3 linked regions of the Tamandua tetradactyla genome follow. The protein of the gene in region 2 interacts with the protein of the main gene of each other region in a biochemical or structural test. Links are inferred from orthologs where the notes say so. Each region holds a gene or a part of one and is shown on either strand. Other genes may lie near its edges.

What was found. The genes of interacting proteins can lie anywhere in the genome.
Region 1: the proteins of EIF4E (region 2) and EIF4G3 form a complex in vitro, tested with the Homo sapiens proteins (3 studies listed by BioGRID and IntAct, with this or other methods). The link is inferred for Tamandua tetradactyla from reciprocal best matches to the Homo sapiens genes EIF4E and EIF4G3.
Region 3: the proteins of EIF4E (region 2) and EIF4EBP3 form a complex in vitro, tested with the Homo sapiens proteins (2 studies listed by IntAct, with this or other methods). The link is inferred for Tamandua tetradactyla from reciprocal best matches to the Homo sapiens genes EIF4E and EIF4EBP3.

Annotation. Positions count from the first base shown.
Region 1 is NC_135328.1:205,157,032-205,164,791, forward strand, and holds the start of EIF4G3 (eukaryotic translation initiation factor 4 gamma 3), read left to right. Parts: upstream 1-4,705; 5' UTR 4,706-4,819; intron 4,820-7,760. Other genes in the region: uncharacterized protein LOC143674792, read right to left, coding at 3,774-4,166. UniProt on the Homo sapiens protein: Component of the protein complex eIF4F, which is involved in the recognition of the mRNA cap, ATP-dependent unwinding of 5'-terminal secondary structure and recruitment of mRNA to the ribosome. Functional homolog of EIF4G1.
Region 2 is NC_135350.1:26,667,291-26,675,039, reverse strand, and holds the start of EIF4E (eukaryotic translation initiation factor 4E), read right to left. Parts: upstream 3,016-7,749; 5' UTR 2,959-3,015; intron 2,471-2,958; exon of another isoform or gene 2,436-2,470; intron 2,351-2,435; exon of another isoform or gene 1,453-2,350; 5' UTR 1,424-1,452; coding exon 1,406-1,423; intron 1-1,405. UniProt on the Homo sapiens protein: Acts in the cytoplasm to initiate and regulate protein synthesis and is required in the nucleus for export of a subset of mRNAs from the nucleus to the cytoplasm which promotes processes such as RNA capping, processing and splicing.
Region 3 is NC_135346.1:20,592,569-20,599,873, reverse strand, and holds EIF4EBP3 (eukaryotic translation initiation factor 4E-binding protein 3), read right to left. Parts: upstream 2,430-7,305; 5' UTR 2,351-2,429; coding exon 2,248-2,350; intron 1,209-2,247; coding exon 1,038-1,208; intron 890-1,037; coding exon 861-889; 3' UTR 556-860; downstream 1-555. UniProt on the Homo sapiens protein: Repressor of translation initiation that regulates EIF4E activity by preventing its assembly into the eIF4F complex: the hypophosphorylated form competes with EIF4G1/EIF4G3 and strongly binds to EIF4E, leading to repression of translation.

The DNA of each region.
Region 1 (7,760 bases), on a different chromosome or scaffold from region 2:
CATTTGCCCATCTCTTAATTGGGTTGTTTTGTCTTTTGTTATTGGGTGGTAGGAGTACTTTATATATTAAAGATATTAAACTTTTATCAGACACAGGGTTTCCAAATATTTTCACCCCTTCTGAAGGTTGTTGGACAATTGATTTTTGACAAGGGTGCCAAATCTATTCAATGCGGAAAGAACTAAATGGTGCTGGGATAACTGGTTATCCACATGCAGAAGAGTGAAAGTGGACCCCTACCTCAGATCATATAAAAAATAACTCAAAATGGATTAATGCCCTAAATATAAGAGTTAAAACTTCACTCATTAGGGAAGTACAAATATATACATATATAAAAACATAAAACATAGGAAAATATCTTATAGTTCTGTATTAGGAAATGGATTCTTAGACTTATACTGAAAGCACATGCAACAAAAGAAAACATAAATTGGGCTTTGCCAAAATTTAAAACTTCTGTGTTTCAAAGGGCATTATCAAGAAAGAGAAAAGAAAACCAACAGAATGGGAGAAAATTTTTGGAAATCACATATCTGAAAGGATTCAATATCCAGAGTACACAAAGAACTCCTACAACTCAACAACCAAATAAGCCTTTTCTTTCACCAACTTTTTCCAAGGTAGTGAAGATACCAGTAGACTCTACAACATACTCAGCACCAGCACCACCCCATTTGATATTGATAGGCTCTCACTTCCAAAATCTAGTCTTGGGCTTCCCATTAACAACAAGTGTCCTGTTCTCAGCCTTGATCATGCTTTTGAACTTGTCATGGGTGGAATTACACTGGAATATGTGGACCACGTTGTTGAGGTCAATGAAGGAGTCTCTGATGGCACAATCTTCACTTTGTGAAGCCAAATCCATTTACCCTGACCTTTACCATCATGTCTCAGGGATGTTGCAGGCACTGCACAGGCAGATGTGGCTATTGGTCAAACGGTGAGGAGCAGAGAGCTTGACTTTCCTTTTTTTTTTTTTTTTAACATGGGCAGGCACCGGGAAACGAAACCAGGCCTCCCTCATGGCAGGCAGGAATTCTGCCACTGAGCCACCGTTGCACCACCCTGATTTAGCTTTTAATATAAGTAACTATGGGGCTACAATTTAACTTACAGGTATGTACAGTAATTATTGGGCTACCTTTCTCTCTTTCCAATTAGATGTAGCCTCATATTCTTCTCTGTGGGCCTAGCACAGCACCTAGCACATAGCCGTCATTCAATAAATACCTGTTAAATGAATTTTAAGGACTATCTCTAGAGGCATGGAAGGGAGAAATGGCCAATGCTTGAAATGGGAAAAGCCCAGAGGGGCAAACCCACCTCTTAACCAGTAGATAGAACAGATAATGAGAAACATTTTGACCTACCAGTGAAGAGACATCATTAGTTTCAGTCCTGGAGCTGCCACTCACTTGTATATGATCTTGAGAAAATTTCTTCCCTTCTTTGGGTCCTATCCTTAAAATCAGGAAACTAGGCAAGGTAATTCTGAAGAGTGTTTTTGCCTTGAATTGACTCTATGATGATACTTTGTTCTTCCCCTTACTTCCTTAGCCCAATTTCCAGGAAAGCTGGAAATTTTGGGCAAAGGGGCAGGGCAGTTTGGCCCCAGGAAAACTGAGACAGCAGCAAATCAAAGAAGCTGAGACTTTGCCCTGGAGGGAATAGGGAAGGACCTAAGGTTTTTTGAGGCCTACCATACCTCAGGCCCTGCTGCTATTTTCTACAAACTCCTTTAATCCTTGCTTTCATCCTTTAGAGACAGACCAGTGCTCATTCTGCAAATGGTCTCGATAAGGTAGGAAACATGCTTAAGCTTAAGGTTGTACCGCTTGTCCGTAAGATTAGAATCCAGGTCATGCGCCCAACCAATCTGGGAGACAGCGTGGCTCATCTAGATGAATGTGGAATTTAGTTTCAGGCGTGACTCTGTCCTTTTCTGGCTGGGTGACCTTGGGCCCTTTGAAAGGAACAAGCACCCTCACATGCCTTTCCACCAGTGGGCCCTGCGGTGTCTGGAAGGGCCTGCTTGTTTAGTTCTTTACTTGAAGAAAATTTGTGGCCTATCATGAACATGCTTGTAGTTACAGGGATGGGGCAAAAACATTTCTCTACTTTTCCCATGGGGCCTTCTCTATACCCACACATTAGATGGGTATCTTGCAGTCTCTCCCATCTTGGTCTTTCTTTTTTTTTTTTTTTTAACCTCTTGGCCTCCCATCTCTACTTAATTGTCTAGGGTCTAGATCTTGGGTCTCCAAGGTCCATGCTCAGCTCTACCCTCTGTGGGCCAATGTTTACATGTTTTAGTGGAGCAACTAATGACAAACCAACCCCACTGTGATTAATAAGGATGGCTTCTCTTTGCATAAGGTGACTTGTTTTTATGCTAACAGGCTAGTTCTCTCCAACAGGAGGACTGAAGGGGCTAGAAAACCCTGCTTGCCATAGCACTTTTTAAGTTTTCTTGTGAGCTTTAAGTAGTGGAAAGTTGAGATTACCAGGTCACCTGGTTTGTAAAGATTATGTCACCAGGATGCTGTAAACCAAGTCACACAAACGTCAATTCAGAAATGAAGGGATTCTTTCTGAGCCCAATCCCTGGTTCACTAAGAGAGACAGAACCCTGGTCCAATATGCTCATGAATAAGTAAAATACCATCACCCACCCATGAGGAATGTATAAACCAAGTCTCAGGCTGTCTTCCAGCTCTTCAGATGAAGATGGAGAGGTATGTTTATTCTTGGGGGAATACAGGTCTCTGCCAGAGGCAGCGTGGTGGGCTCTGGGAATACTGGATGCCTGGACAACCATACAATGCTCCTCTGGGGACAACCAATGCCTGCTCCAGAATACTGCCATCCTTCTCTCTCACTATGCAGTGAGATCCAGTCTGGGCTCTGGATGACTGTGGCTCTGTCACGTACACTCTTCATGTGACCTTGGGTAAGTCTCTTGTCCATGTAGGACACAATTTTCCCAGCTCTTAAATAATGTGTTGTGTGAAGGTATTGTGCCTTCCTATGCCTGTTTCTTCATTTGTAAAATGGGTAGTATCTATTTCACAAGACTCCATGAGATAATACATGAAGCACTCAGTGCCATGCCTGGTAATCATTATTACCTGGATTGCTTGGAGATCCCTGCTATTCCTTTCCACTCAGTGTCACTGTCTCTAGGAAAAGGCCCTGCTTGTGGTGGAGTGGGAGCCGGTGCGGAGTGGAGGTTAGGGCATGTGGAGAAGGGGGGATGCTAAGTCAGTTCACCTATGGAGAAAAGGAATTATTTGATGGCAAGTTACCAAGGTTATCAACAAGTGTTATCCCCGCATAAGACACTAGGGGAGGTGATGACTGACTGATGGCCAAAGGGCCTTCAGTCCTGGGGTAGATCTTGGGAAGGAGATTCACAGAACACTCAGATCATGCCCCCAACCAATCTGGGAGGCGGCATGGCTCACCCAGATGAAGGAGGAATTTAGTTCCAGGCCTGGCTCTGTTCTTTCCCGGTCGGGTGACCTTGGGCCAGTCATTTTTACTCTGAGTCTCAGGGCCTTCAGGAAATGGTGCGCCTTATTCCGTTTACCTCTCAGAGTGTATGAGGATGAAATGTCGACATAATGGATGGGAAATACGTTGTTAAGGGCTGGCGAATGGCATTTGTTATGCTAATAATTCCAACGCAGCGGGTTCCAGTCCAACGGGTTTCATTCTGTTTAAGCGGTTCATTCCCCAGTAACCGAGGTTTCTCGCCTCACCGCCTCTACGCCCCTGCGGGCAGGGCTCTGCAGACCACAAGCTCTAGGGCCGACACCATTGTTCTTAGACGCTCGGCCGCAAGGAGGGCCCCAGCAGGCCAGATTTCGCTTTTGGTCTCTCCTCCCGCCCAGAGCTCCCTGCGTCGATCTATCCCGAGGAAACGAGCCAGCCCCAGAACGCCCCCGAACGGCGGCCGAAGACGTACTCGAGGGTTTCCGAAGAGTCCCGACCGCTCGTGGTTTCCGAAAACAGCCGAAGAGGCTTCCCATCCTCGGTCTTCCGAGCCACTCCGAAAAGACCCGAAGTTTTCCGAGCGGCCGTCCTGCCGGACTGCTGGAGGCGGCCGCAGCGCCATGTTGGATGCTCTGCTCGTTGAGTGAAGAAAATCCGCCGGCATCGCCTGAGCCCCGTAACCGAGAAGGGCGCCGCTTCCCCTGGGGAGGGGGATAAAGACCCCCGCCGCCGACCAATGAGGATATTGCCGTGAAAGGTCCGGTCTCTCCGCCTCCTGTCCCCGCCGGGTCCGGCCCCCCCCCCTGGGGTCGCGTTGTCACGGAGACCGGCAGCCGGTGGTGCTGGCCCGCGGGGCGGCTGCTGCTGCCGGCGGCGGCGGCGGCGTCGGCGGCGTCGGCGGCGGCGGCGGGCGTGTGTGACCGGCCCCGGCCCCCTCCTCTTCCTTCTCCCAGCCTTTCCCCGAACCCCCGCTCCCGCCGCCTCCCCGGGTCTGCCCCCATCCCGCCCCCCCGCTGCCCCCGGCCCCTGCACCCCGGCGCGCCCGGTCCCGCTCTGGGGGGGTTGGTGGCTTCGCTTTGCCATGAGTTTACCGCAGAAACCGGCTCTGAAATCAGGCTCAGCGGCTGCAGCAGGAACCGGACCCGGCACCGGAGCGGCGGCGGCGGCGGCGGCGGTAGCAGCAGCAGCAGCGGTACCGGTACCGCCTCCTCACCCGGCAGCAGCAGCGGCGGCGGCGGCGGCAGCAGCGGCAGCAGCGGCAGCAGCAGCGGCCCCTCACCCGAACATCAGGGCCCTCCAGACCCAGGCGCCCCAACAGTATCCTTTTCACCTTCCTGCCACCCCTTCGACTCGCTTCGCTGTAAACCAAGGGGGTTGTGGCCCCCTCTGGGGACCGCCCTGCCTGCCGCCACAGCGCAGCCAGGAAAGGGGCTGCCTTTCAGGCCCCCGTACCGGGCTTGGCCGGAGCTTTTGGGGTGCCCGGACAGCAGCACTGCGGGGGACCACCGGACCCTCTGCAATACTGTGAAAACTAGCTCCACCAGGCCATGCTTTTCTGCCGTCCTTTCCTCCGAGAGCTGGGGGACCCTTCTCCCTTCTCTCCTCCTCCTTCCTTAACCCCCACCCCCCCTTTAATTAGGCAGAATTTCCTGGTAGCCTGGGACCAACACTGCAGGGAAGGATTTTCTATGATTGTTGTGAGGACTACACCCTCCTCCTACACCCTCTTCACCTCCTTTCAGCTCCCCCTGCAGCGGGGTTTAGTGGGCTCCCCTAATTATTATTATTATTAATACATAATAAACTTTATTGGTAAATTTATTTGAAACTAAACAGCTCGTTGCCGAGGTAAGTCGGGTTTTAAATCTACTGTGAACATTTACAGAAAACTCGCCCTTGGCCAGTGTTTTTTAGCGATTTGGGAACGTTGCGATATGGTTTGCGGTGAAATGCGACCTAAAGAGGAAATGTTACACCGGACACTTCCCTGTCTTTGACCTTTTTAAAGGAAGAGGAAGTTAACTGACATTACCCACCAACCCCAAAGTCTCACTTCTTGGAAGGCTTGTGTTAATGTTGAACATTTTTAAAGGGCTTTTCAGAGGCTTATGGTCTAGAGGGTACCGGGGCTCATGAAGAAAAGTCTAGTATTGAATGTGTCTAATTTCATGTTATTTACTCGATTGTAGAATTTTTGGACAGCTTTGATTGAAAAGATTTGGTGGCAAGTTATTTTAGTCAAAAACTAGCCGGTGAAGGTAAAACGTTGAATTCATGAAGTCCACGGAGATTTAGAAAGGTATTACCTACCTGAGACTATTTCATCATGCACTCCGTCCCCATCTGTTGTATTTGTGTAAATCAATAAATAATCATTGGATGTTAGATGTGTTGTGTTTTGTGTTTGTGTCATTGTGTGTTTGACTTTCAGAGAGAGGAGGGTGTTTGAGCAATTAAGAAACCAACCGCTGTGAGGCCCACAGATTATTTCACAGTCTAGTTTGATTCTTGTCAGTATTGATTACATTGAGAAGGGAGAGGCATCCACCCTTTTGAGTCATTTCGGGTCATTGTTTTGCTTTTTGTCAAGTGTCATTTTCTGTGTTTTACATATTGTTAGTTTACATTTTTCAATACAGGCAGTGTGGCACAGGGTATAAAGATAAACTCTATTCCAGTGTGATGTGTTTACTGATTTCATAATGTTTTTACCCTGCATGATTCTGTTCAATTAAGAATTGTTCACTAATGTGTTTTTTTTTCCCTCTAAGAAAGGTAGTGATGCTTTAGTGTTGCTAGTGGAAACCTGGTTAGTTTTGATCAATGTCCCTCGTTGCTTTACTGTGAGGGAAGAGGTTGGCTTGTTTGCCTACTTCAAGGCCAGGTTTCAAGTGCTGGATCTCACATATCTTCATTTAATACTTTGTGAATTTAAATTCTTTTCATTTTTTTTTCCTATTGTCCGTACTTAGGGTTGTAAGTTTCTGTACTGTGCCACCAAGCAAATTATTCATTAATTGATTTTTGAACTATTTTGGTAGTTAAACAAATGTAGAGAATCACGTAGTGTGAGCTCTTGATGTACGAAGTAATAAGACCACGGTGCTGAATATGACAGTGCTTAGTGGATTTGGTGTGCTCTTTGGACACAAAGGATTATGACTTAAGTATTTCAAGTGTGCTTTTTCTCAGTTCTCAGAACTTTAAAAGTTCTGAGTTGATTGCAACAAAAAAGTAGTTACTATAGCTGCAACTTAATTTTCTTTAGAATAAAGAAAGCAAATGTTAAAGGGAATAAATTTAAGACATTTCTGATGGAGATATTTTTAAACATCGTGGTAATATAGGATACTTAGTTTTTCTGTGGTTTTAAGATTGTGTTTTGCCTTATACAACTTAGAAGCTAAAATTAATTTTTCTCTTGATGTACTTCACAATGGTTATCTTCTCTTTGCTTTATACACTGAAATGTTACAATTGCTTAAATTTAAAAGCTTAAGTAAATGAAGTATGGGCTACAGATTTCATTATAATATGACAGTGGTAAAGTGTTTATACTGGTAATGGGGGATTGATTAAAAATTTATCGAATAAAGCAATTCTGTAGAGTGATCAAGTTCAGTTACAATCACTTTACATCTTAGGAACCAATACATTGTATTTTTTTTCATAGCAACTAAATTGGGTGAAAAAATCTAACAAATGACAGTACTTTGTGTTTATGCAAGGTTTCTGCTTTTCTCTCCCCAGGGTTGGGGGGGTAGGAATTTGTATTTGATGCAAATGGTTATCACAAGATAAATTGATAACATTGAAGCATTGAGGTTGAGGGTATGGCTGAAATTGTTTCCTTGATTTGAACAAGTATTCATTCCCTCAGTTCCCTAGATATATGGGTATAGTTGTGTTTGAATTAGTAAATTCATGCAGGATTTTAAATTTGTAACAGTTTGCATGTCAGGTGTTCTTTATTTGTACTTAGTGTCAAATGACAAATAAGAAATGAAGGGAAATGTTAGCATTAGAGGATATGAATATAAACAAACCTGCTAAGTAGGCTTCAGTATTGCACTCCAGGGCCCAAAAGGCCTGTTTAAGTAGAGGCCTTTGACTCTAGAGGCAATACTTGTGTCCTGGGAAGGTAGGGAGCAGGGATGCTGGAAGAAGAAGATATACCCTGATATAAGAAATGCTAAAGGCAAGAAAAAATACGCATAAGTTTTGCATAATAATCCAACTTGAAACTTATAGTTTATGG
Region 2 (7,749 bases):
CACTAGAATTTTTGAGGTAGTTATAAAGTCAAAACAACTTAGCGAACCATATCAAAATCACAAACTACCTTCATAGATTTATAAAAGTATCTGGCAACCAAGGCCTAGAACTGGTTCGAAACTGAGTGTCAATTGTTTTCTGGTTGCTAATGCCCCAAAATGTTGTCACTTAGGTGTCACATTCATGAAATGTCAGCTTGGACTCAGAAGCTTCGCTGGGCATGTGCCGGCAAACCCAAACTATGACAAAGATAATCACTCCTTTGAGGGGTAACTATCAACTCTCTGTCTCAGGATCTGCTCGGTTCAATTAAATTTAAAATGGTGCCTAAATTGAAAGGAAAGCCTAAAGAATGGGTAAATTAAGAACAGAATCAAATGGAAAATTTAATTTCCTGTAAGTTGTCTTAGAAATCTTCGATAATAAAGAGTAGAAAAAAACACACGGATCTAGGGCCATTCGCATTCGCTCAGGCGTGCGCATTGCACGAAAAGGATGAATGAATGGAAGGCAGGCGCGTGTGAAAGGCAGCAGGTCCCGCCGGCAATCAGACCAGCCGCAGCGATCTGTAGGCCTTGCTCCTCCCCCTTCCCTCCTCCATGACAGCCGAGACTTAAGCACTGAGGGGCGAGGACAATGTGAGCCCCCTTCTCACCACCTCCACCCCTCATTCCATCCGTAGGGCTTCACAGCACGACGCGGGGCTTTCCTCCCCACGCACACCTTTCTCTACTGCCTCGACGCCAAACTCGGCACTCTCTGGCGCGCTGAAGCAACATGCGCTCACCGCTCTCAGCTTCCCCCAGCGAGGTCGAAGATCCCCGCGCGTGCGAAGGCACCACTCCCGCCCACCCCTCCACCGACAACACGCGCCCCCTGGCTCCCCAGCCCACCCGTCTACGGAAGGAAAACTCTCGCACGTGCCCCATACCCGAGCCCCTGGGGAGGAACTCGGGAGGGAGGAAAAGGCTGGCCGGAGCTCCCTCCTCCATCACGTTCCAGGCCGGTTCTTCGCCCACCCTCCCTACAGATTCTGGCGCCCGCCCTAAGCCAGCCCCGCGCCCTCCTATTCGAAAGAAACAGTATCCACACACCTAGCCCAGGGTCCGGAACACCCTCTACCCCTGCAGACAACTCGCGGCTCCGCAAGAGGCACCGCGCCGCCCCTCCCCCGTTTTTCTTCCCCAGTTCCCCGGCCCCCACTAGAACGTGTGAGCGACACGCTGCCGCGGCCAGCCTCCGGGGCGCCCCCAGTTACCGGCGGGCAGGTTAAGCCCAAGAGGAGGGGGAGGGGGTGGTAAAGGGTAGCGTGCGCGCCGGGAACGACATCCCGCGGGGTCCCCCTGTCCGAAGGGAGCCAGAGCGCGGGGACCTGTGGGGGTGGGGGCCAAAAGCGATACTCACCGGTTCCACAGTCGCCATCTTAGATCGATCTGATCGCACAACCGCTCCTGAAGGGGAGGGGGGGGTGAGAGGAAAAAAATTAAATTCAAACCGGATTGGCTGGCTACTGCCACGTGACAGACGTGTCCGTTTGGCCCTGGCGGCGCCTGCGCAAGACTGCGGCTGCGTGAGTATCGAGAGGCTTCTGGGAAGTGGAGTCTCCTTTTTTTTTTTTTTTTTAAGGGCAAAGAAGTTTTTTAAAAAAAAAGTCTGGTCACGTGGTCGATGGATAGGGTGCGCAGTTTTCCGCGCGGCTGACACTCTCTTGCCGGAGGGTGGTTTTCAGTCCTCTGCTCTTCCGCCTGGATGTCTGCAGTCGCACTTACTGCCCGGCATGCCTACTGTGCCCTTCGTCGCCCTATCCTCCCATCTTCCCCTGTAGGCTGGGAACTGCAGGCTCAGCACGCACAATAAGGCTTCATTTGCTTAGTTGGAAGTCCTAGGACAAGTAGCCTATGTATTTATTTAGCTTTCTTTTGACTTCCCACCACCATTTTCTCTTTTAGTTTCAAAAAGAGACGGTGATGGACGGAGAATCTGTGTTTAAGCAATCGATCCTCCCCCGTCCCCCAGCTCTGCTATTGCCGGTGGTCACTCATGGCCTTCGTTGCGAGAGGAGTTGGACTGAACCGCCCACAGTACCCACTTGCCACCGTTGGGGGTGAGGGGGAGTGGACCCGAATGCGTTTTCTGACCCAAATCCTGAGATTAAACCTCTGGGCCAAAACTTGCTTGGAAGTAAAACTTATTTGGCAGCTCTGTCCTCTCGGTTCCACTATCCTCCTTTAAAGTGAACGGAAATAACCTAAGTCCAGGTGCCAGCCAGGGAAGCCACTCTGGGCCCCGCTGACTAAGCCCTGGACTGACCGTCAGGAGTCGTTAGGCCGGGTCAACTATGACTCTTGACGTTGACTCATTCTCCTTAGGCGAGTGACTTAATCATTCAGTACCTCGGTTTTTTCATTTATGAGCCACGGGTTCATACACTTACCTCACAAGGGTGTGCTGTGGTAATGACAGTAACCTGCTTTGAAAATGCATTGGACACTATAAATGTTTCGTAGGCAACTGCGTGCCTTTAAGGATCAGCTGTTTCTCTGCTGTTGTTTAAAACCATGTTTTTATTTTTACTTTTGTATACTTTGTTACATTATGATGTACATCAGTGCAACTTTAAAATTTCCAGACTTTTTTTCTATATAATTGTCGCTACCTTCATTAGAGGCGTTAATGTTCAGGAAAATACTGCGATGTTCACAGCAGTCACTGCCAATTACGAATTTGTCCCCACACTAGCATCATACTTTTCGTTTCCCTCTAAGGTATTGTGCTAGCAAGCTGTCATTTCTCAAGACAGCCTTATCCTGCACAGCCGGGTTACTAACACACACACACAAATCTAGTAATATGCTAATATAAGGTTCTAATAAGGAAGATGCTATCTCATCATTGTTTCCCATGCTTAAGAATGGTAACCCCAGAAAAATTAGTACAAGCAGGCTGCCTGTGCCTACCTGCTTATTGTGCTGCCGATGTCCAAAGCTGTGTCACACCTATTATTGAGTACATAATGGATGCTTGGGTTGACTAACACATAATTGAGGTTGAACAAAAACTCAGTCATTGCATGTTAGTATGTTTGGTTTGCCTGGATGTCAGAGATGACCAGGTACACTTTTGTCTAGCTCTAGTAGATTCTAAAATACTTAGAATTCTAAAAAATGAAAGTAAATGGATTTCTCCTTACAGAGATTATGTACTGTTACTTAAACTATTCAAAGTGATTACAGTTGATGTCGGTGTTTTCTGTTGGTTAAAAGTAGTATCTGATTATCTTCTTTGAATAGATAGCTTAGATGTGCTATTTTTGCAATGATGCTAGATAACAGAGTAAAGAATCAAGGAAATAGGCAAGGAAATATCCACATGGCACAGAAAGCCATGATGTTCTTTAAAAACGTTTTTACGCTTTTTTTCTTTCTTTTTTTAACGTGGGCAGGCACCGGAAGCGGACCCGCGTCTCCAGCATGGCGGGCGAAAACTCTGCCACTGCACCACCATTGCCCTAAAAATGTTTTTAACAATGGCTTACATAAATTTTTATCTTGATCACAAAACTCTCCGCTCTTGTCAGTCATCCTAGTACTTTTATAATACTTATGTATGCTATCAGAGCTTCATTTCACTCCCTTTTACACATGCCTTGTTGCGTATGTTTTATGGAAACTTCATGTGTCTTTCCTTAATTATTGTCATTATGTTCTGCCATGTCAAAGATTTGGTGATTAGGTCTTTATTTTGTTTTGTTTTTTTTGTTTTTGTATGCTGTATGGTGGGGATCACATCTTATTCTTTTTCCATGTGAGTATCCCCTTCTTGCAGCGCCATTTGTTGAATTTTTCTTTGTTGGCTTTTCCTTTGTTTGCTTGCTTGCTTGTTTGAGAAGTACATGGGCCAGGAATTGAACCTGGGTCTCCGGCATGGCAGTGGAGAATTCTACCACTGAACCACACTTGCACCCCCTGGTGATTAGGTTTTTATGTGTGTATGTGGTTATTTTGTTTTGTTTTGTTTCCAATTTGAAATATACATAGAAGACGGCTTATATACTTTATTCCTCTATTAAACCACACAAATAGATTGTATTTGTTACCTTACTACCACATCCCTTATCTTTATGGAAAAGAATGGTTAATGAAAAGTTTAATTTATGAAATAGGGTAAGGTATTGAAGTTCTCTTCTCTTTGATCAAGCTATCTAGTTTATAGGTAACTACCTTTGACTCATCATAATATCATGGTACTTCCTATTTATAAGTCTGGGATGATTGATTATCATCTTTAAATATAAAGCACTTTTCTCAACTTAATATATTCCTCACACTGGTATATTGTCTTTATAGATTAACTCATGGGACATGATTTTAAATAATTTGACAAAACATATAACTTGTTTTTATTATGTAATTACCTCTTTGCCATTCTAATGTTGATTAGATCTGGCAGATAACCAAAGTCATTGTTTTGCTGGGCTTTTCTACCATGTTCAAATTGATCTGATCTGCTATGATATATTTCTAAACAATATTGCTATTGTGCTAGCCATGATTTTTTTTTTAAGACAGTCTTTGAAATTTTAGATATTGTTTAGGTTAGGGGACTTTGTCTCTGATCAGTTTTAAGCAACCCTTTTTTCTTAAGATGAGAGGATTTTGAGACAGAAGATGTGAGATTGCGTAATAAGGTAAGTGATCTATAGTAGCTTAATGTTTGGCCAGAGTTTTAGATATAATCTAAAACAATCCCTAGTCAATACTAATCTGATATCCTTTCTTTTTTAACCTTGTTCAGACTTTTTTGTTGTTGTTCATTCTTTTGTTAAAACTTGGATATACTTGTACTTGATGTCATACTCTATTTTTGTACAGTATTTTTGTTATTTTCACTTTCTACAGTGATTTTCTTTTAGAAAAGCTCTAAGATGATGGCCTGTAATAAAATAAATATCCTTTAACTTATAATTGTATAGTTTAGTGGTTAACAACATAAGTTTAGTATCAAACTATCTCAGTTCGTAACCCCAAGTCCACCACTTAGCATGTGACTGTGAGCAGGTTACTTAGACTCTCTGTGCCTCATGTTTGTCATGTATTAGATGGGCATAATAATTTATGTTGTGTGGCTAATGTGAAAAATAAATGAGTTAATCCACGCAGTGGGCTTAGAATGGTTCTTAGAACATAGTACGATGTTCATTCAATTTTACCTATCATTAGGTATTAACATAGATTCTTATCTCTACTTTTTACTACAGTGGAGTATTTTTAAGAATTCTTTTCTCAGAGAACCAAACTCAGCCCAGTATTTTTGAAGATACTCCAAACTTCCAAATATTCGAAGTCAACTAACATTTATTGATCTCCTATAACATACCAAGTATCTTCCATATTAATTACTTCATTTGACCTTTATAACAATTACATGAATTAAATATCATCATCCCCGTTTTATGGATAAACAGACTCAGTAAAGTTGTCCGAGTCCACATTAGCCAAAGAGTAAACTGGAATTCAAGCCCAATCTCTCCAAGATTCGCTTTTTCCTCATACCATAGCTACTTCCCTCTGATAGGACCTCCCAAATTCTTGTTTCTCCTCAAATGATTTCTAATTCTAAGTTCATTTTCAGAAATGACAGGAAACTATTTAAGAAGTACTGAAGTACTCATGGCAAATATGTAGTAACCAAAGGATATTTAAAGGACACAGGAAGCAGGCACTTCCCTCCTGAACTGTAAAATTTGGTTGGCATATAAGTCATAGAAATATAAATAGTTCTGTCACCATATAAAGACGTGTGACTAAGAGCCAAAATGATGCAGCAAACAAGCACCATAACAAGCACCCATTCACATATTGAGACATTCTCATATTTTCTCACCTAGTTTCGTTTGGGTTTCTGTTCACATACCATCTCCTGAGCAAAGCTTTTCCTTGGCCGCCTTTATCTAAATTAGCATCCCTGGCACTCTCTGTCCCCTTACCTGGCTTTATATTTCTTCAGAAATATAGAATCCTTCAAAATTCTGGTGACAAACCTGATATTATATTAAATATCAATTCATTGTTGGTGGTCTCCACTACTAAAATATTAGCTTCTTGGTGATTGTAGGTAGATTGCAAATAAATATTTGGGAAAAACACAAATCTTATCAAACTAAGGTCAAGCCTCAGGACTAATAATTAATAGGAAAATTGCTTTAGTCAGGCACTATTCTAAGCATTTACATGCATTTATGGTACTTCATTTTGTCTTCAAAACAACACTCAAATGTGAGTGTTCTAATTTTTCAGATAAGGAGAACAAGGCTTAGAAAGGTTAAAAAAACTTGCTCAAGACCACTCAACTAGTAAAAGGAGAACCAGATTATGAACACAGTTCTTTCTTCAGGGCTCTCAATCATTATGTAACATTAACTAGATTGTAATTGGATAGCCTAATAAAGATCAATGTCTGAAATAATAGAGTAATTAATTATCATCAAAGAGAATGTGAAAAATTAATGTAAGTATATGTTTGGACCAATGATAAAGGACTTCCAAAATGAATTCATTTACCTTATTAAAATCAAAATTAAGAAAAAAATTGAAATGTGTAAGATAAGATCACTCATCTTTAGAAATAAGCCACAAGATTGTAAACACCCAAAATTCATTAGAGATTGGGTGTTACTCCAGGGAGTCACGACTGGATTTCGATTGCTACATAGATGAGTAAGTGCCTGTGTTGTGCTTTTGTTTAAAGAAAGAAATGTGTTAATGAGTGGGAGTTGGCCTGCTTACCATCCATAAAAGAGGAATCCAGAATGACTATATTTGATGATGTATCTCTAGAATCGTTGAGGGGGCAGAGTGTGAATTTCTCATCCATCGATCCTTATTTGAGGTGGTTGTTTGAGGACACCAATCATTAAAGCCATATTACTAATTCACCTCATTTTATTGCAGACTCACCAAGCAACCATATGATAAATGTATCTTCCCACCATTTTTTAAAAACTTTTTGTTGTATATACAAATCAAAATTTCCCATTTTAACCATTTTCAAAACTACAATTTGGTGGTATTAATTACATTCACAATATAGTACTACCATCATCAACATCCATTGCAGCAACTTCTCCATGACCACAAACTGAAACGCTGCCCTCATTAAGCAATAAAAACTCTTTGCCCTCTGTGCCAGTTTGAAAGGATTATAACCCAATAAAAGCCATATTTTAATCCTGATCCATTTTGTGGAGACAGCCGCTTCTTTTAATCCCTATTCAGCACTGTAGGTTGGGAACTTGAATAGATTATTTTCACTGAGATGTGATGCACTGAATTGTGGGTATTAACCTTTAATTAGAAGGAGATGTAACTCTAACCATTCCAGGGGGGGTCTTGATTACTTTACTGGAATCCTTTAAAAGAGGAAATATTTTGGAAAAAGCTTCAGAGAGCCACAGAACCTTGAGAGCCTACGCGGCCAGAGACCTTTGGAGATGAAGAAGGAATATGCTCCTGGAGGAGCTTCATGAAACAAGAAGACTGGAGAGAAGGCTAGCAGATGCTGTCATGTTCGCCATGTACCTTTCCAGTTGAGAGAGAAACCCTGAACTTCATTGGCCTTTCTTGAGTGAAGGTAACCTCTTGAAGGTAACCTCTTGTTTGGACATTTTCATGGCTTTAGAGCTATAAACTTGCAACTTAATAAATTCCCCCTTTTTAAAAGCCATTCCATTTCTGGTATATCGCATTCCA
Region 3 (7,305 bases), on a different chromosome or scaffold from region 2:
TTGAGATTTGAGATCCTGGCACTTTATCTGACTCACCATACAAGTTGCTTCCTCATTTTGGGTGGGCCTCATTTGGGCCCTAAAGTCTTTTCTAATCCTGAGTTCTATACTTTGCTGAGTGGCAGGGATCCTGGTGGGTATTCATGCTGTGAGAAAGGAGGGTACAGGTTTTCAATGCTGGGATAGAAGGATTGCAGAGTGGGTGTGGGGAACAGAAAAGGCATGGGATGTGCACAGGGCTGGAGACAGTACCTATTTCTCAAGTATCCTGCTTTGGAATGGATAGGGAAAGCCTGCTGGGGAGGTCTAGTTACAGGAAGGCTGCTTCCTGGAAAGATGGGAACAGCCTTTGGCAGGGATCAGCCTACTGCTCTTTATGGTTTGGCAGCTCACGTAGCCTGCCTCAGGCATGCAGTGCTGCTGGAAGTGGGCCCAGTGGGGGCTGGGAAGGGATCTGAGGCCTCTTATCCTAACTAGGCCTGTTGGGCCACAAACTCTCTTACTTTGTGGCTGAGTGGGAAGATCCGCACTTGAGGAGACACTGGAGCCAAGGCATTTCTTTGAATGTTTACTAAGCAGTTAGAAGGTGATATACTCCACCCCCTAGTACCAGCTCCTGAGCAGAGGCCTACAGACCAAAGAGAAAGTACAGATAAGGGCTTGTTGAGTTGCCCAAACTCCAATCCCTGGTCTAGCTGCCTCAGAACTAAGGGAGGCCAAGGACCAGCAAGACACTCCCTTTCATATTAGATGAGGCCAGCTGGCCTTTGGATATCCCAGGCAGAGATGAAGATGATGGCAGTAGCAAACGGCATGAGAGATCCCTCTATATTTCCACACACGAGGTCATCTGCACTGCATCAAATATCCATTTCAAACTGTGCGTCATCTGGAGAGAGAAGAGGCAGGAGGACTGGTTGCTGTGCTGAGGGCACTGGGTCTGCAGGCTTAGGACCAGTGCAGAAAATTCTGTTTAAATTGAACCCTTACTTTACTTTGCAGGGGCATTTCTTAATTTTAGGTCCTGTTTTCCTTACCGGGTATCTCTTCCTCTGTCTCCTTCTGCTCCTTCAGCTCCTCCAACTTGGAGGGTGGGACTGTTGCAGTTGTGACCCCGGGAATCTGAGGAAGGCAGCATGGGGGTGTCCGGGCAATGGGCGAGTTCTTGCACTCCAGCAGGAACTTTCGGTCGTACATGATCCTGGTGCCTGTCAAGGACCAAGGAGTAGGGGCTGAGGTAAGAAGAGGCAGGAGCCTGGATACAGAGCTGTCTGTGGCCCCGGACATGGGCCTTTTGGGGACCTGGGAGTTACATTTCCCTGTGCATCAAAGGGCTTCTGCTCTGCAGCCTAGGCAGGATCTTGGCTGACTGGACTTCCCAGTACTTAAAATCCTCTGGGCCTAACCAAGGTGGAGCTAAGCATTATAAACTAAGTGGGGTGTCTGGCTGGTCTAGGCAGGTGCTTTAGGTTTAAGGTTACTTAAGGTCTTGGTTCTAGGAGAGCCTAATTTGGAGATCAGACACTTCAGGCTGCTCATCTATCTGTTGGCTCTGCGACTTCCTTGTTTTGGATCACAGTATGGGACCTAGCCCTCCAGCTTCAGAATCAGGAAGTTAAAGCAAATGTGAAGGTGGTTTACCTGTACTTTCACTTGGACAAACACCCTAAAGGGAGGAGCTGTGAAACACAGGGACAAACTGTTCTTATCCTGACCTGCCTAATGTCCTATAAGGCTCAGCCCAGCCTAGAGGATCTTGGCCTGGCATCATGTCCTCAAAGAGCCCTGCCCTGTCTTCGCCCCTCCCCTTTGCTTCCACGTGGCAGGAACCCCAAGGTCTGGAGCCCAGCAGCTTTGTCATTGGGGCTGCTCACCCAATCAAGCACCAGATAGCCCCTATAATATGTGCAGCTCCTGCTCCTCTGCCCAGCCCCTTTGCAAAACCTAGTGCTTGCTTCTAGGGTCATGCTCTGTTGGGGTCTCAGACGGTACCCCAAGACAGCAAAATCGCAAAGGGTGCGTGGGAAAACACGTGGACAGAAACCAGGTCCTAGTGAAGGATTCCAACCCAATCATCAAGAGGGTAGGCTCAAGGTCTTGCTACATCACTTCAAGGTTTTATGGATCAAGGCCTCTGCTCCGAACCTCCTCCCCCAAAGCTACGACCTGAAGAACCCGCACTTCCCCACCCCCGCCCCACGGCAGCACAAGCACACTGGCCTGCAACCCCCAGCCCGGTACGCTGACCTCCCGGAGTAGTGGCATATAGTGTGCCCCCCGGCGTGGAGCTGTAGCAGTCGGACAGCCGGTCCCGGCCACCGGGAATCGGGCAGCTAGTGGACGTGGACATAGCGAGCGGGTGGAGCAGGAAAGCAAGCGTCTGGTGTTGAGGACGGTGAGCTCAGCTCTGAGCCTGAGGCGGACCCTGCCGACCACGTGCGGCTGTAACAACACCAGGGCGACGTCACGCCCGGGGCGGGTCACCGCCGTCACTCAACACAATGGCCCCGCCCCTCCCGCAAGGGAGCAAGCTCGGAGCTTGGCGAGTGCTGCAAGGGTTCTAACTCCCAAGCCTCTCACGGGCCTTCAAGCGACGCAACTGCTTAGCTATTTACTGTTTCCTTACTGCTGGGCGCTGGGGACAGGTGAGGCACATTTTACAGACAAGAAAATTAAAGCCCAGAAGTTTTAAGTCACTAATTCAAAGTCGTACATCTTGTAGCTGGGACAACTGGGATTCGGATCTGGTTATATCTGATTCCAGAGCCTGTGCCCTTCAGTACAGATGTGTGTAATGCCTCCTATAAACAATCAATTACAGTATAGAATGAAAGTGCCGTGTTGGCCTAGAGCATAGCAGAAGGAGAAGATCAGGAAGGGAGGGGACTTTCTGGAAGTGATATTGGACTGATGAAAAAGATGAGTAAAACTTGGGGAATAATTGAGAACATCACTCAATTATTGGGCAGGCTTTCTCTTGATCTCTTTGCCACCATTAACCTCATGAAACTAGGGAGCCAAGTGATGATGAGGGTTTGGTCTTTAGTTCCTGGAAACGAAGGTCACAGAGTTTGGCTTTGGAGGTAACTTTTTTGATGTAGGGGGTGATATGAGGAAGGAGAGTAGAGTAAATACTAACTTTAGTACCAACAGATACTGAAAATTTGAACCAGTTCCAGGTGTCTTTATTTGACTTCCTCAAAATCAACTATCGCCCCTACTAAAAAAAAGTATATCACCTTACTGCATACATTTAACAATATTGCCTCAGCTCTGGTTTCATCAGATTTTCTCTAAGCTGGATTTCCTCACTCATTAAAAATAAAAAAGCATACTTTATAAATCAGTGCTTCTCAAATTTTAAAGTACATATGAATCACCTGGAAATCTTGCTAAAATGAGGATTCTAATCTCATTTTAATGAAATTCTGCATTTTTTGATAAGCTCCTAGGTGATGCATATGCTGCTGGCCCTCAGATCACACTTCTAGTAGCATGGGTATGTATATTTTATTGTTCCCAAAAGGCTTTGAGCCTTTTACAAAGTAGTGCATGCTTAAATGAAATGTCTTAGCAGTACTGGAGGTAAGGCTTGGTATTAGATTGTGAAGACCATCTAGGAGGACTCAGCTTTTAAGAAAGGTGAATAAGTAGTCTGATGAGGGAGGGGGTTGAAGGCAGAGAGAATGATGGCGGTGAGACCAGTCTAGTGAAATGGGGTCAGCAAAAGGACAGTGGCTGTGGGAACAGAAAGAAGTAGATGGGATTCAGATACACAGAGGAAGAAGGATAGGGATGATTAAGAGTGTGGTGAGGGAGAGGGAGGGTAATTCCCAATTTTCTGGCTTGAGAGTCTGGGCAGCTAGCAGTACCACATAATATAATAGGGAAAATAGGAGGAAGGGCAGATCTTATATTGGGGAATGCACAGTGTGTGTGTAACACTCAGATGTAGAAGCATAGTAAGGAGCTAGGTATACTGGTCTGAAGCTTAGCGGGAGAAGTCTAGGCTAGTTTATAGATTTGGGTGGCGTGAAATTCACATGGAATGAAATCACCTAAAGAGAACATATAAGAAGATACTTGGGCATATCAACATTTATTTACTTCCAAAAGAAGACTGAGAAAGACCAGTCAGAAGAAATAAGAGTACTAGGAGAGAACAGTTTCAAAGAATTTCAAGGAAGTATCAACATGGAAGTCAAGTCTTCCTTTTACTAGTCTCTACTAAAAATCAATAGCAGTAGTTACTACTACTATAAAGACTACTGCTAGTAGCTAAGTTTTCTTGAGATGCTGTGTGCTATAAGGGCCAGGACTAGAGAATAGGTAGTTAGCTTTTAAGAAAAAACTAGATTCATCATCTATGCAACCTGAATGCAGGAACAAGAGTTTAAGTCAGAGGGTCAACATTGATTACACATGAATATATGGGAAGCTTAAAAAAAAATACATATGGCAGGCCCCACCCCCCAAAGATGTGATTTAATCATCTGAAGTGGGTCTGGCTCTTGTAATTTTTTTTTTCCTTCAAGCTCTCCAGCTGATTTTGTGGGGTAGCCATGATCAGGAACCCTTGATTAAGATGAAGGGATAGTGGTATGAAAATACTGGGCACAAAGAAAGAAATCAAGAGGAGAGAGACAAGGCAGTAGGTTACTTATTTTCATCTCAACTGTTTTTGACTCACACTATATCATTAAGATAAAACAGGAAGTAAAAAAGTAATCCAAAATAGGGCAGTGTAATGGTGGCTCAGTGGCAGAATTCTTGCCTGCCATGCCAGAGACCTAGGTTCGATTTCTGGTGCCTGCCCATGTGAAAAAAAAAAAAAAAAGTAATCCAAAATAGATTTATTGTCAGATTGTTTGATTCATGATCTTATTTCCCAAATCAGGTCTTGAAGCTGAGGCTGTTGCCCTGTATTTTAGATAGTCTTAAAACATTAAATTTTGGATACTTAAAACCACATTTTCTCACTCATTTGTTACAGGAGAGAAGGAAGGTGAAGAAACCTGCCTGTTGGCAGATGACACACTTTTGAGGATAGAAAATGCAGTGTTATCAGAGCCCCTCACTCCAGCACAGGGTCCAATGGGAAGATGTCACAACCAAAGCACTTCTTGGTAGAAGAGTTTTACAGAGTTAAGAACAAGATGTTCAGAAGCTATTTTTCTACAGACTTGTTTGCCTCTACCTGCGTTTACATGTGGTCCAAAGGTCTTAAACTTTGTGATAGAACCATGTATACTAAGTATTCCTCTTGGATTGGCTTGAAACTATAATATGACCAGACTATTTCTTTCTTCTATAAGCCAACTCAAGCTCAGGATAATAGCTTTAGGCAAAAGTTTTGAGGGTGAGAGGGGGATTTGACCAGAATCAACAAGAACAGAAGGAAATTGCAGTTCTATGTGCTGAGATTTCTTACCTCTGGTTAGGAGAGGCCACCATTGGTTGTCCAATTCTCTTCTTCGGTCTGGTTAGCTGAGGTGATAGGATTTCCCCTTTGAGAGCAGGGACTGAAGGAAGCAGACTGGCCTATAAAAGGGCAAGTCAGCACACTGTAGCCACAGTAGGTTTAAAGGGTCTAAAAACAGTCAATTTTATTGGTGTTGGAATTTTATTATATTGAATACTACATGAAATAAGTGGGTCCAGAAACCTTGATGATATAGTTGTATTCCTTGAAAGAGTTGTTACTGTCAGGGGATTTGATTTTTGCCTCAGCAGGATGTTTCTTAATTACTTGAGGGCTCTCTAGCATACGTAAGGCTTTTTTCTGTCACCACCAAAATCTCAAAATCAATACTGGCCCTACTGGCAGAATTTTTTTTGGGGGGGTGCATGGTCTAGGAATTGAAACCGCTACCAGCAGACTTTTGATTCCATGTCAGAACCAATGGTGGGGCTCTCAAACCTCAGCACTGTAAACATTCTAATAGCTTCCATTGTCCCCATACCTTATATTCTCATTCACAAGAAAAAAAAAAATCTGTGTTAGAATTAGGGCACACATTTGAGTTCATTTAAATTCATTTTCCAATGAGGAAAATGAAGCCTACAGAGGTGAAATGACTTGCCTAAAGCCCTATAGTATGCCAGTGGCAGAACTAAAAATAGAATTTAGGCTTCTGACTCTTATTCCAGTTATCCATTCTACCACCCTCATTCCCACCCCCAAATCCCGTGTATATTTTGAAAGTAATTAAGTTCTTACCTGAGCTAGGTTTTATCCAACGTTCAGGTTTGTAAAATAGTAGTAAAGTAATGCCAGGAAGAGGCAGACAGAGGAAGAAGAGATTGTAGCAGGCAAAATGGGGTGGGGAGTAGGCTACTAGGATCCAAACAGTGAAAAAGAAAGGAAGATAGTGCTGGTAAAAGGGAAGGGAGGAGAGTATCCTAAAGAACTACTGTCAACTCACAGTTCCCATTTCTTCCTAATCTTCCTAGGGCTTTAACAAAATTGCTTCCTTTTTCCCTCATGGGTTCTAGCTGACTGGAGATAAAGAGTTCTCATTCTGTTGTCCTCAAGATACAGACTATAGGTTAAAGTGCTCCTCCAGACAATCCAAATATACTGTAGATAGTTAAAGTAGAACAAAACTCACCTTTTTGGTCCACTGAACAATTTACTTTAATATTACCTCACTAGTGTATGTTTCATCAAGAGTAATTTCATTCATTTCACTCCTAATGGGTATTTTTTTTTTTATTAACGGCAAGTGGGACCAGCAAGATATGTAGGTAACCCAAGGGGTCTTTTGTTTCCCACAAAAAGTGGTCAGAAGGCCTCTTGAAAATAACTGATGTGGTTATCAAATACTACAAAGGTAGCAGCTTCAATACCAGTGATATATTCCAAATCAATTCAAAATACAAAATAAGAAATGAGCTTAAGTAAGCTGTCTCATATGTAAGATTAGAAGACAAAGGAACCAGGTGTGTCTCATGCAGAACAAACATGGTATGTATGATCTGGGTGCTAGGCAGAGAAGATTAACAACTCCTTTTGGTATGACAGTAGAAAAGTACAGCTTATATGGTATTCTCCCTAGTTACTACTATATTTCTGTGCATCCTCCTCTGTCTTGATATGCACTATGGCTTCTGTAGCAGCCTAAAATATTTTGTTTTTTTTTTTAGACTGCCTATACTAGACCAGGAAATTCAACTGCATGAAAATACACGAACAAGTTGATGACTGTTCTTTTCAATGGAACAGTAGTTCCTTCTCTGTTGCATCAGATTTTTGGCCCGGCCTAAGGTTTGGCCAAAGCAAACTTATTACAATGTTCCTGTGTT